2 linked regions of the Astyanax mexicanus genome follow. The protein of the gene in region 2 interacts with the protein of the main gene of each other region in a pairwise test. Links are inferred from orthologs where the notes say so. Each region holds a gene or a part of one and is shown on either strand. Other genes may lie near its edges.

Region 1 (7,697 bases), on a different chromosome or scaffold from region 2:
CAAAGCCTCTCTGCTTCACCGGTGACAACAGATCATGCGTGAAAAAAATAGTTTCGCTCGGTACACGTACAGTACGGCGCTGACCAATCAGAGAGCGCGGCTTCGCCCTAATCCCCGCCTTTTGCGCTAATTCGCCCAATCAGAGCGAAGCTGTCTGAAAAAAAGGGACGTGTCGTTTTTCATTGACGTCAATGCTGTTGTTCAGTGCAGTGTGTGAGAACGTCAATAGCGTGTTTTATCTCTGTGTGGAGACCTTAAAAACCAATTATGCGAGCAAATACTTTGAATAATTGCTTTAAAGAAGGGTAAAATAAATAAAAACGTCTGTAATTAGATGTTATTCTCGTGTATCGTCTTGAATTTCAACGTAATGACGTAAAAAAACAAAACAAATTAAAGCTATTTTAGGCATTTTTCTTAAAATAGCCTAAAAAGAGCACATTATTGTGGGTTTATCTCATTTAAAGTAAAAAAAACACCGTTATACATGATTGTACAGTAAATATATATGTATATATAAAGTCATGCAGCTTTATATTGTACATCCTTGTATAGGTTGTACAAAGTCATGTGCTATCAATCAGCACCGACAGATGTCGCTGTGGTATTTTCTCTCTTTATGTATGTATATGATATAGAATATCATTGAAAAGTTACTTTATTTTATTAAGTAATTCAGTTCAAAAGGTGAAACTCTTATATTATATAGATGTATTACAGTATTACACACAGAGAGATCTAAAATTCTAAAATTAGATTAATATATTAGGCCAGTAGGTGCTTTTGGCAGTGTGGGCAGTGTGACAAGTCCTGCTGGAAAATGAAATCCGCATCTACATAAAATTTGGCAGCTGGAAGCATGAAGTGCTGTAAGATTTTATGGGAAAACAAAACTGCACTGACTTTAGACTTGATAATAAAACACAGTGGATCAACACCAGCAGATGACATGTCTCTCCAAATCATCACTGATTGGTGGAAACTTCACACTAGACCTCAAGCAGCTTGAACTGTGTGTCTCTCCACTCTTCCTCCAGACTCTGCTATGGTATGGTATGGACTTCATTTTCCAGCAGGACTTGGCACACTGCCAAAAGTACCAACTGGCCTTATATAATATTCTAATCTTCTGAGACACTGATTTTGGGGTTTTCATTGGCTGTAAGAAAATAGTATGGAAGCCCATTTCCGCCACCTGAAGAAAAAAAAAACGTCCTCAACTAAGTCATAATTATGAGATAGAAAAGTCATAATTATGGGATAGTAAGTCATAATTATGAGATACTAAGTCATAATTATGAGATAGTAAGTCATACTTATGAGATAGTAAGTCATAATTATGAGATAAAAAAAGTCATAATTATGAGATAGTAAGTCATATTTATGAGATAAAAAGTCATCTCATAATTATGACTTTCTATCTCATAATTATGACTTTTTTATCTCATAATTATGACTTTTCTATCTCATAATTATGACTTAGTTGAGGACGCTTTTTATGGGCTTCCATAAAATAATCATCTACAGTAAAATAAAAATATGCTTAATATAGTTCACTCTGTGTGTAATACATCAATATAATATATGAGTTTAAAATTTTTTAATCCCTGTTTTTGTAAATGCTCGGCTACATTGAAAATGAGGGTTGCCCTCAATGTACCCCAGAGTCAAGATAAAGGTTGATTGACTGATTGATGGAAGAAGACAGCTGCAAGCAGTGAACGCTGCACAGACCACGCTCTTAGTGTAAACAGCATGGATCAAAAACAACGATTGTTTATAGCTGTGGTATTTAGTGTTATATGCCTAATATATCAGATTTAACTGCACCTTATTAGCAGTTTAGCTCAAATTAAACATACCCTATACTGAGTATATAAAATCTGTTTCACCACTTTGCTGTATTGTCAAGCATGATAGTCACATGCCAGTCACTGATGAATTCAATCAAATCCTTACGGCAATGCTGCACAATGTAGTAGAAAGCCTTTTTGGACAGTAAAAGAAAGAAAAACCCTTTTAAAACCCTTCATTAAGCTGGTGTCCCAATACTTTTGCCCATTTAACAAAGAAGCAATGCAGCAAATTCAACAGTGCACCTTCTGCAATGCACAATCACTCATAGAAATACATTAAAATCATATCATTACTAAATATTTGATTAACACCAATGATTGGGCTTGTTTTTGGGCCCATTTGCATATTGCATTTACATATGTCTCAATAAGACTGCATATAAATCATATAGTGTAATTAACCTATAGTATTTCAACTATATATAGCCTTCAACTATATTATTTTTTTGAATGATAAACACAGAAGAGCATGACCTAGTATGTCTTGCTAGTATGTCTGGTTTACCTGTTACTCCAATAAAAGCAAGATAAACTCTTTTTAAAACCCTTAATTAAGCTGGTGTCCCAATACTTTTGCCCATTAAACAAAGAAGCCATGCAGCAAATTCAACAGTGCATCTTCTGCAATGCACAAATAGCTATAGAAACACATTGAAATCATATCAAAACTAAATGGTGTGTAATACATCAATATAATATATGAGTTTAAAAATTTTTAATCCCTGTTTTTGTAAATGCTCGGCTACATTGAAAATGAGGGTTGCCCTCAATGTACCCCAGAGTCAAGATAAAGGTTGATTGACTGATTGATGGAAGAAGACAGTGTGTGTGGTGCTTTTCCTGGCGGGGGTGCTGAATTCTAGTCTACTGAAAGCCGGAAATGTTATAAATCTTCACTTCAGAAGCTTGGCTGTATTTGTCCCTCCATCTTTTCCAAACTAGACTAATATGTTGTTTATTTTCGTGGACTAAAACTAGACTAAAACTAATAATAACCAAAAGACTTAAAGTTGACTAAAACTATTATAAATTTTCAAAAGACTAAGAAGAAAACTAAATCAAAATCACCTGTCAAAATTAACACTGGTCCAACCCCACCCCTTAGCTTTGTGCTGTAGAATAATAGGGTAGTAGTAGAAGCGGTGGAGCTCCATCCAGCATCTAGTACCTTTGGAATGGGTAGAAGCAGAGTTGATGATCCAGAACTAATCATCCTTCATCAGTACCTGACCTCACTAATGCTCCAGCGCTGACCTGAACACATTAAATCCTCACAGCAGTGTTATTACAGCACATACAGCAGCTCTAAAGCCTTCCCAGAAAGTTAAAAGCTGTTTCTAAAGCTAAGATAGGACAAGCCTGATACCCCTGATATGATGAGAAATGCTGATGTCTTTAGGTGTTAGGATGTGCAGGGTACGCTGTAGTCCGGTGTGTAAGGCCGGGGGGAATTAAACAGGGTGATCTCATTATTCCCTGGAGGCTCAAGGTTAGCTAGCGGCGAGTTCAGACTGTTAACTCCTGTTATCTCCTTTCTGGAACAACAGGGAGCTTTAATTCAGATCAGCTTGCACGTCAGACGTTAGGTCATAGTCCAGCGTGTTTATGACAACATCAAGTTTATGATGGTTATAATCCCAACTAACATTTTAACAAGTTAACTAACAAGTTTGTAGAAAATGTTTTGTTTGTAGAACATTCTTACAACGATAGATTTGAATGTTTTATGTGTTTTTTGTGATAATTCTGTTCTTCTCTGGTGCATTTTGGCATCTAATTTTAATTTTATTGACATTGGAACACAAATCAACAGCTAACAACTACCTAGATACCTAGTTAACACATTAGTGCCCATTCCACCAGTAGAGAAATTACACATAAAAGCAGCTTACTCTTCCCTAATTGGCTGAATCTTATTTTTACAGTCTCAGTCTCACTTAAAATTGTTACGTTATTTTTAATAATTAAAAAAAGGAACTCAAAATGAGCACAAAAAAGCACAAACTCAAAATATTTTGTGCTTGATTCAAGTCTTACTTTACTTTAATTTGAGACTTTGCAATGGTTTTTATATAAAAATCTTACCAAGAAAAATGTGGCTTAACCCTTTGGCATTTTTTGGCCTAATATGTCTTAATTTACACTTTGTCTAGTTTTTGCCAATTAATTTTTTGCAGTACATTTGCATAGATTTGAGCTTTGCTTAAAAGTTTTCGTGAGACAGCATACGGCATGGTGGCTTAGTGGTTAGCATTTTTGCCTCCCAGCACTTTGTGTGTGTGTGTGTTTAAAGGTGTGTATAACTGTGCGCCCAGATATGGTTTGGCACTCTGTTTTGGGTTAATGCTGTAGTGCTGGATGCAGTTCTCCAGGTGGACGGTTGTTTCCGGTTAAGAGTACGCTGTCCGCAATTGGCTGCCTCTTCTCACCAGAGTGTGGGGATGAGGGCTGAGTATAAACAGTTGTGTGAAAAAACATATAAATTGTAAAATGTCCTTGGGTTTCTAAAAAAAAAAAAAGGCGTTGTATAGGTTTAACTTCAGATATGGGCAGTTTACTAAAATTTGACATAAGTTAGTAAGTTAGTTGAGGTTAAGAGGTGTGTTTATTGTTTGTGAGCTATTTTATTAGTTTATTATTGTGTTATGAAAAACATTTATGCAAAAATTGTGAAGATACATTGTGTATTTGTAAATGTTGAGATGTAATGTTTTTTGTACTCCTCTGAATAAGCAAATGTTGCACTGTTCATATCGACTGTATCGGTGTTCGACTGTAAGCCCTGATCGCGCTGTGATCCCGCGCTCGGTGATCTGCTGGCCGGCCTGTCTGTTACGGAAGAGGCTGGCAGCAGCAGCTGTGGTGTTTAGATTCGGTTTAATCTGAATTCGGTTTAAATTAACCGGATTAATTTAGTGTTTAAAGACGCAGAGCCGCGGTGCTGCAGTGTGGAGGAGGCGGGGAGAGTTAGGAGCTCAGAAAACCCGAGTTTAACCGATTTAACATCTGATTACGGTGAGAAATCAGTGAACAGGGCACTCCTACTGTTTACTTTCTTTAATTATTAATATTAATAATATTTTACACTTTATAAAGATATTTATATATATTACTGACTGTCTGGATCGTTATTTATAATTTTATTATTATAAGTGTTTAGTGTATGGTCAGAAATGCCTGATATGTTGATGTTATTTTTTTACTTGGCATTATTTATAGTTATAGATTATGTGATTAATGGATATTTAAGATGTCCTGACTTATCATCTGTCTTATTATTCTAAATAAGCATTTATAACTACTATAAATGTTTATTCTAAGGTGAGAAATGTGAGATAAGGTCTCTGTGTGCGTTTAATCTTTTAAATTATTAATATAATACACATTATAAAGTTATTTTTAGATATTTCTAATTCTCTTTGTCATTAATTAGGGTTTTATTATTATACCGGTTTATGTTAAGGTGGGAAATATGTGGTTATTTATAGTTATAGATTATGTGTTGTATGGATGTTTGAGATTTTCTGTTTTATTATGTATCACCTCTTATTAATAATGTTTAGTGTAAGGTAAAAAATATATGTCGATTCTGCTATTGTTTATTTATCTGCTATCTTTATTTATGATATAAAAAATATATATTCTTTGTAGTTAGTAATATATTTATAATTTAAGTGATGATCTGCATTAAATATCTAGATTGTTTTAAGAAGGTTTAGTGTGCAAAAAAATCATGGTACAAATATCTGATGTTTTATATATGATATTTTAAATTAAATTACTAAAAAGATACAGTGTGTGAAATGTGCGTACATTTTTATTTTATATTTATATAAAAAACCTTGTATCTCCAGGAGGAGAATACCTTCTCAAACTTTAATTAGAAGTCTATGTGAAAAGATTTTATTTCAGGTAATTTATATGTACATTATTAAAACATATTGACAAATTAAAGCAAGTTCTGTGGTGTTTCTCCTTATTAAACTAAATGTATGTAGTGCATTAAGAAAGGAATAGCTCTTAAAAAGATGCATGTACAAAAATACATATTTTAAATGATCATATTGGAATAAATTAGTAATTGTTTGTTTGTTGCAGTTCTGCAGGGGAAGCTGAGAGTGATCTGTAGCTGAGAATGCTGGACGTTGTCTCGGGCGGGGGGGATCGGGGGGACGCGTCTCAGTCTCCGGTTAAAGACGCCTCGTCTCTGGACTCCAGCTCTGAGTCAGGGAGCTCTAAAGCTCTGAACTTTGACCTTCTCAACATGGTGGTTTCCTACAAACGCATGGCCATTTTTCTGGAGCCGGTGACTGACGCGCTGGAGGTGCTGCGGTACCTGCTCGGGTCAGTGCAGAAAACAAATTCTCCGCTATACTGTCAGAAAATTAATATTTAACTGTGCAATTAGAATCTGAGCTTTTAGTGTACATAGAAATGGGAAGTATAATAGGAATTGGAATTATAACACTAAAAAAAAGTAATTTTTAACAGTAAAACTGAAATTGTATTTTTTTATAATAAAATATTAAGTTATTAAACAGAATGTTTGGGATATATAGTATAAATCCAAATGTAAAAAGTTTGGATTTGTGCATAACCTTTAAGCAATTTTATATAAAAAAAAACTATTATTCATATTAAGATAAAGAGGAAAATGTTAAGAGAATTGAGGAAATAAAATACATTTTAATAATAATTTATAAATAAATTTTTTAAACACTAAACATAAGAGCCACATATTCTTATTCTTATTAACTATAATAATATATAGATATAGATACAGTTTGTGATACTGAGCTTTTGTCTGTGTGTCTGTAGATGGAGATTACCACTGTGTTCTCTGCTCTGCTGCATCCTGCTGAACATCCTCTTCATCACCTTGAGTCAAGGTAAAACACACACACACACACACACACAGACACACACACACACGGGCAGAGAAATAGACACAGAAACACAAAAAAATGTCTTGAGTAATGTGTAGCAGTTGTATTTATAACGTATTATTATAGTATAATCTCTCTCTCTCTCTCTGTCTCTGTGTGTTCAGTGGCGTGGTTCTCTGTGCTACTGTTGGTGGTGTCTGTGCCGGCTGTGTTGGGGTACGTTGGTGAGCGCTGTCATGGCGATGCGAGTGAGACGGCGCTGCAGAAGAAGAAGCATTACGCCGTTCAGCGCCGAGAACTGCAGACCGTCAACATCAGCCGACAGGAGGCCATGCTGGAGGTCAAGAGCCTGTGAGTAGAACCTTTACCAGAACACGGATACACTGAGAACAACTGTGTGTGTTTAATTGTTTGATTTGTTTTGTGTGTGTGTTTAATTGTTTGATTTGTGTGTGTGTGTGTGTGTGTTGCAGGCTAAAGCAGCTGGACGATCTGTTGACTCAGGCGTGTGGGTATGCAGAATCTGTCTATAAGGTCTTATACTGGGAGAGTCATGCAACTTCTTCTGTGTAAGTAACACACACACACACACACACACACACACACACACACACACTTATTCTACTCTGGACAGTAGAGGCAGTTACTTCAACAAAAGCAGGATAAACTCTTTTTAATACCCATGATTTCATTAAAAACTATTTACAGCAAGCAGATGCCCCATTACTTATGTCCATATAGTGTATTTATTATTGTGTGGGTGTGTGTGTGTGTGTGTGTGTGTCTGTGTCTGTGTGTGTGTATATATACAGGTTTTACGGGTTTCTGCTGATGATGGTGTGTTTGCTGTACTCAGCTCCTGTGGGCTGGAGTCTGTCTCTGGTGAACAGCGCCCTCTTCCTGTGGAACCGTGACTTCTGCAGGGGTCAGTCCTGATTCACTCATAAAAAATGAT
Region 2 (7,270 bases):
GAATATACTTTCTCAGTATTTTCATAAAATGTATTTTTAGGCAATATGCTTTTAATTATAATAATTATAATAAAATACATAGTGGCATTAAATACTGCTTAAAGTGCACCTTAGTGTATTTTTCCCAGTAGAATTAAGGTGTACACAATATATGCATCAATACAAAGTACCAAGCAGTACATTTACAATATACTTCAAGTGTATTACAAAAGCAAATAATTAAATCTACCAAATCTCACAAAAGTACAATTTAGCGCTTTTATGTTGTGTTTAAATATAACTTAATTACAACTGAGATACACTTAAGTTGCTATAAGTAGTTCCAAAATAGTACATTTAGTTTGTATTTAAGTACATATTTTAATTTTAAAAAGTATGTACTTTTCCATATTAAGTATACTTTTGTACTTTTATCCATTTCATACATGACCTCAAAACAAAAACAAGTTCTCTTACCCAACACATCCAGCCATTCCTCCGGAGGAAGAGAAGGACTGTTGTCTGTAACGGCTTCTGTTTTAGCTGTCTCTGCCTGGCTGTTCTGTTTCTTTCCTCCTCCTGCATCTTCTAATGGTGGAAGGTCATCATCTACTCCATCATCAACATCTTCCAACATCTCAAAATCTTCTCCGCTGTCTAACAGAGAGGTTCGCCCAGACTTTTTCGTCTTGGAAGAGTCCTGGTTGTCACCGGAGCCATTCACAGGTATGCTGTTTTTGTCTTCCATCTGTTACTGATCTACAACAGTAATGACAAATAAATAAGATGAAAGGTTCAGACCAAATTTGTGTTGCAGATTAGTATTTGATTCTTTAATGGAACAAGAAATCGCTCTATAACAGTAGGTGGTTTTTACCTGTAGGCAACCAATGGTACTTTTAAGAATAAGAGTAAAAATCATTTGAATTAACAAATTATTTGCAAAAATAAAACAATGTATATTTAGTTCATTTTATTTTCCAGCAGGAATTGGCACACTGCCAACAGTACCAATTGGTCTATAATATTCTAATTTCCTGAGACATTGATTTTTGGGTTTTCATTGGCTGTAAGCCAAAATCATCAACGATAAAAGAAATAAATGCTTAAAACAAATCACTCTGTGTGTAATACATCTATATAATGTACGAGTTTTAGTTAACTGCTGAAATTAAGTAACTTTTAAATGATATTCTAATTTTTGGAGTATATACAACCATCACACAAAAATCTTGTATTTTCATGTTATTGTGTTTTTTACTTTTTAGTGAATCTGGCAGTTGTTCTTTGTATTCCATTAGTCTGTTTAACATTTAATGATGAACTGCCCATTAAAAGGAACAAAACTTGTAACAGAAGCTCTTTCCATTGATTGTCATTAAAAGCTAAAGCCTGAAAGACAGTTTGTGTGTGACAGCAGTGGTATCCTTTAGATTAGGATTGGTGCATTCTCTGTAATCTTTGATAGCTAGCTAATGATTAACAGCAGCTTTAAATGGTCTGCTTGCCAACGTCCAAAGGAAGCAAGTGAATGACCTTAAAAAGCTCACAGCATGAGGAACCATTACTGACAACGCTATTATTTAGCTAAGAAAGGGCAGCACATTTCTGCTTATCCTGTTAATATAACCATTGAACACACAAGTATCCAGTAAGCTCACTTAGCACTACATCTCTTTAAAAAAATAAGAGACCACTGCAGTTTCTGAAACAGTTTCTCTGATTTTGCTATTTATAGGTATATGTTTGAGTAAAATTAACATTGTTGTTTTATTCTACAAACATTTCTTCCCAATTACAAATAAAAATATTGTCATTTAGAGCATGTATCTGCAGAAAATGAGAAATGGCGTTTAAGAGTTCTAAAATTAATATCTGGAATAACCCTGTTTTTTGATCACAGTTTTCATGCATCTTGGCATGTTCTCCTCCACCAGTCTTACACACTGCTATTTGATAACTTTACGCCACTCCTGGTGCAAAAATTTAAGCAGTTCAGTTTGGTTTGATGGCTTGTGAACATCCATCTTCCTCTTGCTCATATTCCAGAGGTTTTCAATTTGGTGAAATAAAAAAACCCACATAATTTGAAATTGTCTCTTATTTTATTCCAAAGGTGTATATTAGCAGTTATTTTGCCATTATTTGGCTTTAACAGACTTAATTAACTAGGTTAGCTAGCTTGGTTATCTAGCTAACTGTTGTTTATACAGCTCACATCCATTCAAGCAGCTGGTTAAATTACATTTATACTGGAAAATTCGTTAGTTATTTATCTCTAGCTAACCACCATATCCAGCTACCTAATCACCACAAGGGGGATTGTTATGGTCAATGACATTCACCCAGGCTGTAGAGGGCACAGAGGACAGTAGAATAAAGGCTTGTAGATGATGCACCATCTGTTCCAGCAGCTTCTCTAACACAGGGTCTCTCTCACTGACCGGCCCAGGTTAGATAACTCAGTCACTACAGCTCGCTGTGCAGGTGGCTAACGTGAACGTTAGCTAAGCTAGCTAGCTTAACCGCTGCATTAAACCAACAGCACCAGGGGAATCCCACCTCCACCTCCACCACCACCACCACCTAGTTGCATTAACGCCAGTTAGCCAGCAAGCTAAGAAGTTAACTCCCCGTTTACCCGCAGTCACAGTCTAACAGAACCGCGGCTCAGTAACGCCGTTCTGTGCTCGCTGTGTTTTGGCAGCCCTGAGAAAAGTCTTTCTGGAACTTTCTGTAAAGTTTATGAGCAGCAGTAGCAGTAGCTCTGATGCTACAGCAGCGAGTTACCCTGACCCGAACTTCACCCGAGACTCGCCTGTATTTACATTCAGCGCTTACAGCGCCTCTCTCCTAAACTACTGACCCACACAGAGGTTCAGAGAGCGTGAAGAACTCACCCCAGCCTACAGAAATCCCTGTAAACTAAACCATGAACCAGGAGGAACCACAGCTCCGCCACGACCAGCAACTTTGACAGCAAAACAATCAGTACAGCTTCTTCCAGAACAGGGGCTGTCCTAATCACTTCAAAATAAAAGTCCCCGTTACAAAACGAAGGAAAATACGGAGATTCTACGGATCAAGGTAAACATCAAGGTAAAAAATATTTTAAGACTTTTAAGTATTTAAGTATTTTCCTTCGTTATATATATATATATATATATATATATATATATATATATATATATATATATATATATATATATATATATATTATTATTATTATTATTATTATTATTATTATTATTATGTTAGTATGAGTCCTGAAAGGTTTAGTCGATTTAATAAATTGTTTCTTCAACTAAATTAATGAATGATTTGTTAAAATGAGAAAACGGATTAGGGGACTGTCAATATTATTTTTCTAATGATGCATTAGAGAGCAGGGGTGGGCAATTAATTTAAAATGTAAATCAGACATTATAAAAAAAAACATTAAACAATATCATATCATTATTTAATCAACACTGACATAAACAAAACAGTACTCAATTCACTTAAAACAAAGAACTATGGCTTCTTCAAGTGCAGTCTGGGCGTTCTGCATTTAGAGGCTCTGTAGGAAAAGAACAAAAAAGGTGTATAGAACTGATGTTTGTGTAAAGTAGAGGATACTTATTACAGCCAATATTGATAATACTAATATATGTGTATATACTGTATATATGTAGTAAAATTACTAATTTTATATTTCCTTGAAACGGATAGTTTTCACCTATATTCAATTAGGAACATAGCCCTTAATATTAGAAAAATAAAAGTAAATACATATTTAGACTTTTCCTCAATTTAATAAATCTTTGATTAACTTTTTAATTGTTTATCGTATTAAAATGAGAACATATTGTTAAATGTAATAGTGACACAATGTTTTATATTTAATATTTTTGCATAGCTCAATATTTTAAACAAAGTGTAAAGTGTTCAATAATTAATTTTGTAACTTGCCATACCTAAGCTTAAGCCAAGGTATATTTGGACTTTCTGAGTTGACAAATAAACACATCTGTATGTCACTCTAGATAAATGTCATTATTGTAATGTAAGTGTTTATAATCCTTTGATATTAATCTCCTCTGCTGGTGTGAGCTAAGTAGTCCAAGCAGTCCGCTCAAAATCCTGTGGAGGACTTTTACTTTCTTAACTCACCACTTCTGCTTCATATGGCACCAGGTCACTCCACAAAAAGTCTTTATGTTTTTACATTATGTTCACTTATCAATAATAGCTAAAATCCAATATTATAATACGCCTTTTAAAGAAAGACGTTTATATTTGAGTCGAGCACAAACGTTTTTTTCAGATACATGTCAAAATAAAAGTCCTCATTTAACCACCACAAGGAGACAGGAAAATATCAAATTACATTTATTATTGATGCAGCCATTTGTTTTTGATAAGCAAATTTTCTTTTTTTTCTGTCAGTCTAAAGAAACTTTACAATATAAAGTAACATACAAAGGACATCTTTATTACCTACACAAGACACCTAAGTCCCTAAGACACAGATCCAAACTAGCCTACCATGAAATACAAAGCAAACCCAATGAGACAGACTGCTTCATATTGAATACTGTCGTGTCGCCAGAAAGGACAATGAAAGGTACAGGAAAATCTCTTCTCTTCCCACCCTCGCCAAATATACCCCTCCCACACACACACTGCCTTTTCCAAATCCCTCCAAATGTTACAGTATTATACATCACAATAGAAGTACAGAGATGGCCAACAATTGTACAATTAAGGACTGAGAGAGGATTAGGGAGAATCAGTCTACTTAGTGTTGTTTTAACACTAAATGTTATGCTGTGCAAATCCGAATTCGTGTTCGACAACGTGTATATTTGTTTTTAAGAGACCTTCAAGTTAATTATGTGCCCTTTTGGTCCCTTGGTTTGATGTTAGATTGGCCTGCATTTGTGAAATGGGTAGGGTGCATCAATTTGATGATTGATATTTAATATTGCAGTTAACAGGGACCATAAACAACACAATTAGGATGTTCTTTGGAAGGCTACATTGCAATCTAATCGATTGGGGTCAATCTATGTGAATACAGGCCTGCATATATCAAAGTCACTTGCCGCAAGTGCCATTATGTGTTAATCTGTTAGCTCTCTCTCTCTCTCTGTCCTCTTGAAAACTATATACAGCTCTGTCTTCAGACTCAAAAATGTTTTTCCTTCACAAACACACTGCTGTATTTGTGAATCCCACCAGAGATACAAATGTTTACAGTGGATTTAAATTTGATTCTTTTTGAGGTATTAATTCAGAAAAATATTTTCTTGTATTCCTTATCTTATGCAATAGGGGCGATCCCCTCAATCTGATACTTTACACCAAACCATCTCTTTAAAATACAAAAACACAAAACAAATTCTTTATAACTTATTTTCAGCTGTTCTCGTTGGTTATGACTGACATATCAAAACATGTCAATGATATCAAAATGCATTTTACAGTATTTACAATAAAATCAAAAGGTGCAGGGATTAACAAAGGCTGGGGACAGGGGATGGGATGTGGGGATTAGGGTGAGGGATGAGGGGTATGGGGGCTGTGTACCAGACAGATTGGAGAGCACTTGGAGTGACTATTTGCTCTTTGTAATCTGATTACAGGGTGAGCCTGGTGCTGTCAATTGGAGAGAAACACGCTGTTGATACCACAGGGTCACAGGGCAAGAAAACAACAATTTCAGTGAAGGTCCAATCCAATTAAACATGACTAAACCAGAGAGCAACAAGAGCAAAGTGAACAGTATCTGAAGCACAGTGATATAATATGGGCACACTCAATTTGAACGAATGGCCGTTTGACTAGGTTGTTGCTAATCTCCATACAGTCGATGATGAGTGAGCAAGCTTAAAAAAGTCCTAACTGAGGCTTCCCGGGATTCGATTCTGAGGAAAAAAGGAAAAAGATGGAACCACACAAGATTCACAGACAAGTAGTGTATTGAAAATACAAATGAGATTGAATGACCAATAAGCGAAATAGGTTGTATTTACAGGCATGGGACTAAAAATAAAAAATAAAACAACCAAAAAAATGAGCAACTGCCTTACAGCCTTGAGGAGGGTTTTTACCCCCCATTATAATTAAGCCCGGCCGCTCCTCCTCCAGGCATTCGGGTAGGATTTAAAATCATCTCAAAATCAATACATGATTCCAAAATCACAAGAAACATTAATGACAAGCTTACATGTAACTGTCAGGGATATTACAACAATGAACAGAGGTGAGGGGGTTTTAAATGAACCAATCACACAGTTGGGATGCTTTGAAAAGGCAAGATTAGAGCAATTTTTTTTAAAGCTACGCTGAAGTAAAAGCCTTCTGACAGTGACTGCAATACGCTTTTCATGCTACATGATAGAAACGTAGAAACGCAATAAAGACAACACATGAACACACAGATCAGGCATGACGGAAAAAATGACAGTGAGGAAAAAATTTTACAGAACATTTGGGAGGATGCGATATAATATTCTACAAATGTTTCAGGTCCAGTGCTGACAGTGATTGTAATTCGTGTGACAAGCAGACAGCCTTCGATTTCATACAGACTCCAATACTGAGATAGTACACTTTTACAATGGTACTCTGGTAGTGATGACATCAGTTCCATGAAGAACACAGGAAGAGGTATATATATGCAAGGAGACATCCAACAAAACGAATCGACATGAAAACAAAACCAAAAAAAAAAAGAGACAAACAAATACCTAAAATCATGTAAACAGAGGTGTCATTGTGCATTCTTGAGTGTGTGCTTATTCTGTCTTCGATGTCGTTGAGATACAAATGTGCCCTTTACAGGAAAATATCCGTAAAATCATGACTACATCAATAACAATATCAATTATGAAAATCAGAACAATAATATAATCAATAATATACAAATATATCATGAGGAGACCGTTTTTGCCCCGATGCATCATCACCAGTTTAGCTTTTTCCATTTCAGAATGTACACAGCAGTCAGACGGGCCGACTGACCTCAGCCTCACCTCTGTCCTCGACTGCCGACCGCGTGAGACGATCGAAATAAAGAATAAAGGAGAATAAAGAAACAAACTATGACTGAATTTAGACCACCAGCCTTGGCGCTGAGCAGCAGCAGCTCACTGTGAGTTTTATTCTGGAACAGTCCCACCCATAGAGAAAAGCATACACACTCACACACACACACACACACACACACACACTCTCAAATACACACACTCATACACTAACACGCCCTCAGTGCCCCGGGCCGGTGAGAAAGCCAGGCAGGCTGGCA

Evidence for each region.
Region 1: the proteins of fkbp8 (region 2) and zfyve27 interact in binary tests that used the Homo sapiens proteins (3 or more experiments, as listed by UniProt). The link is inferred for Astyanax mexicanus from reciprocal best matches to the Homo sapiens genes FKBP8 and ZFYVE27.

What each region holds. Positions count from the first base shown.
Region 1 is NC_064428.1:35,476,338-35,484,034, forward strand, and holds the start of zfyve27 (protrudin), read left to right. Parts: upstream 1-4,675; 5' UTR 4,676-4,871; intron 4,872-5,954; 5' UTR 5,955-5,991; coding exon 5,992-6,200; intron 6,201-6,674; coding exon 6,675-6,745; intron 6,746-6,906; coding exon 6,907-7,093; intron 7,094-7,215; coding exon 7,216-7,311; intron 7,312-7,554; coding exon 7,555-7,667; intron 7,668-7,697. UniProt on the Homo sapiens protein: Key regulator of RAB11-dependent vesicular trafficking during neurite extension through polarized membrane transport. Promotes axonal elongation and contributes to the establishment of neuronal cell polarity.
Region 2 is NC_064423.1:22,602,611-22,609,880, forward strand, and holds the start of fkbp8 (peptidyl-prolyl cis-trans isomerase FKBP8), read right to left. Parts: upstream 3,013-7,270; 5' UTR 2,880-3,012; intron 739-2,879; 5' UTR 728-738; coding exon 457-727; intron 1-456. UniProt on the Homo sapiens protein: Constitutively inactive PPiase, which becomes active when bound to calmodulin and calcium. Seems to act as a chaperone for BCL2, targets it to the mitochondria and modulates its phosphorylation state.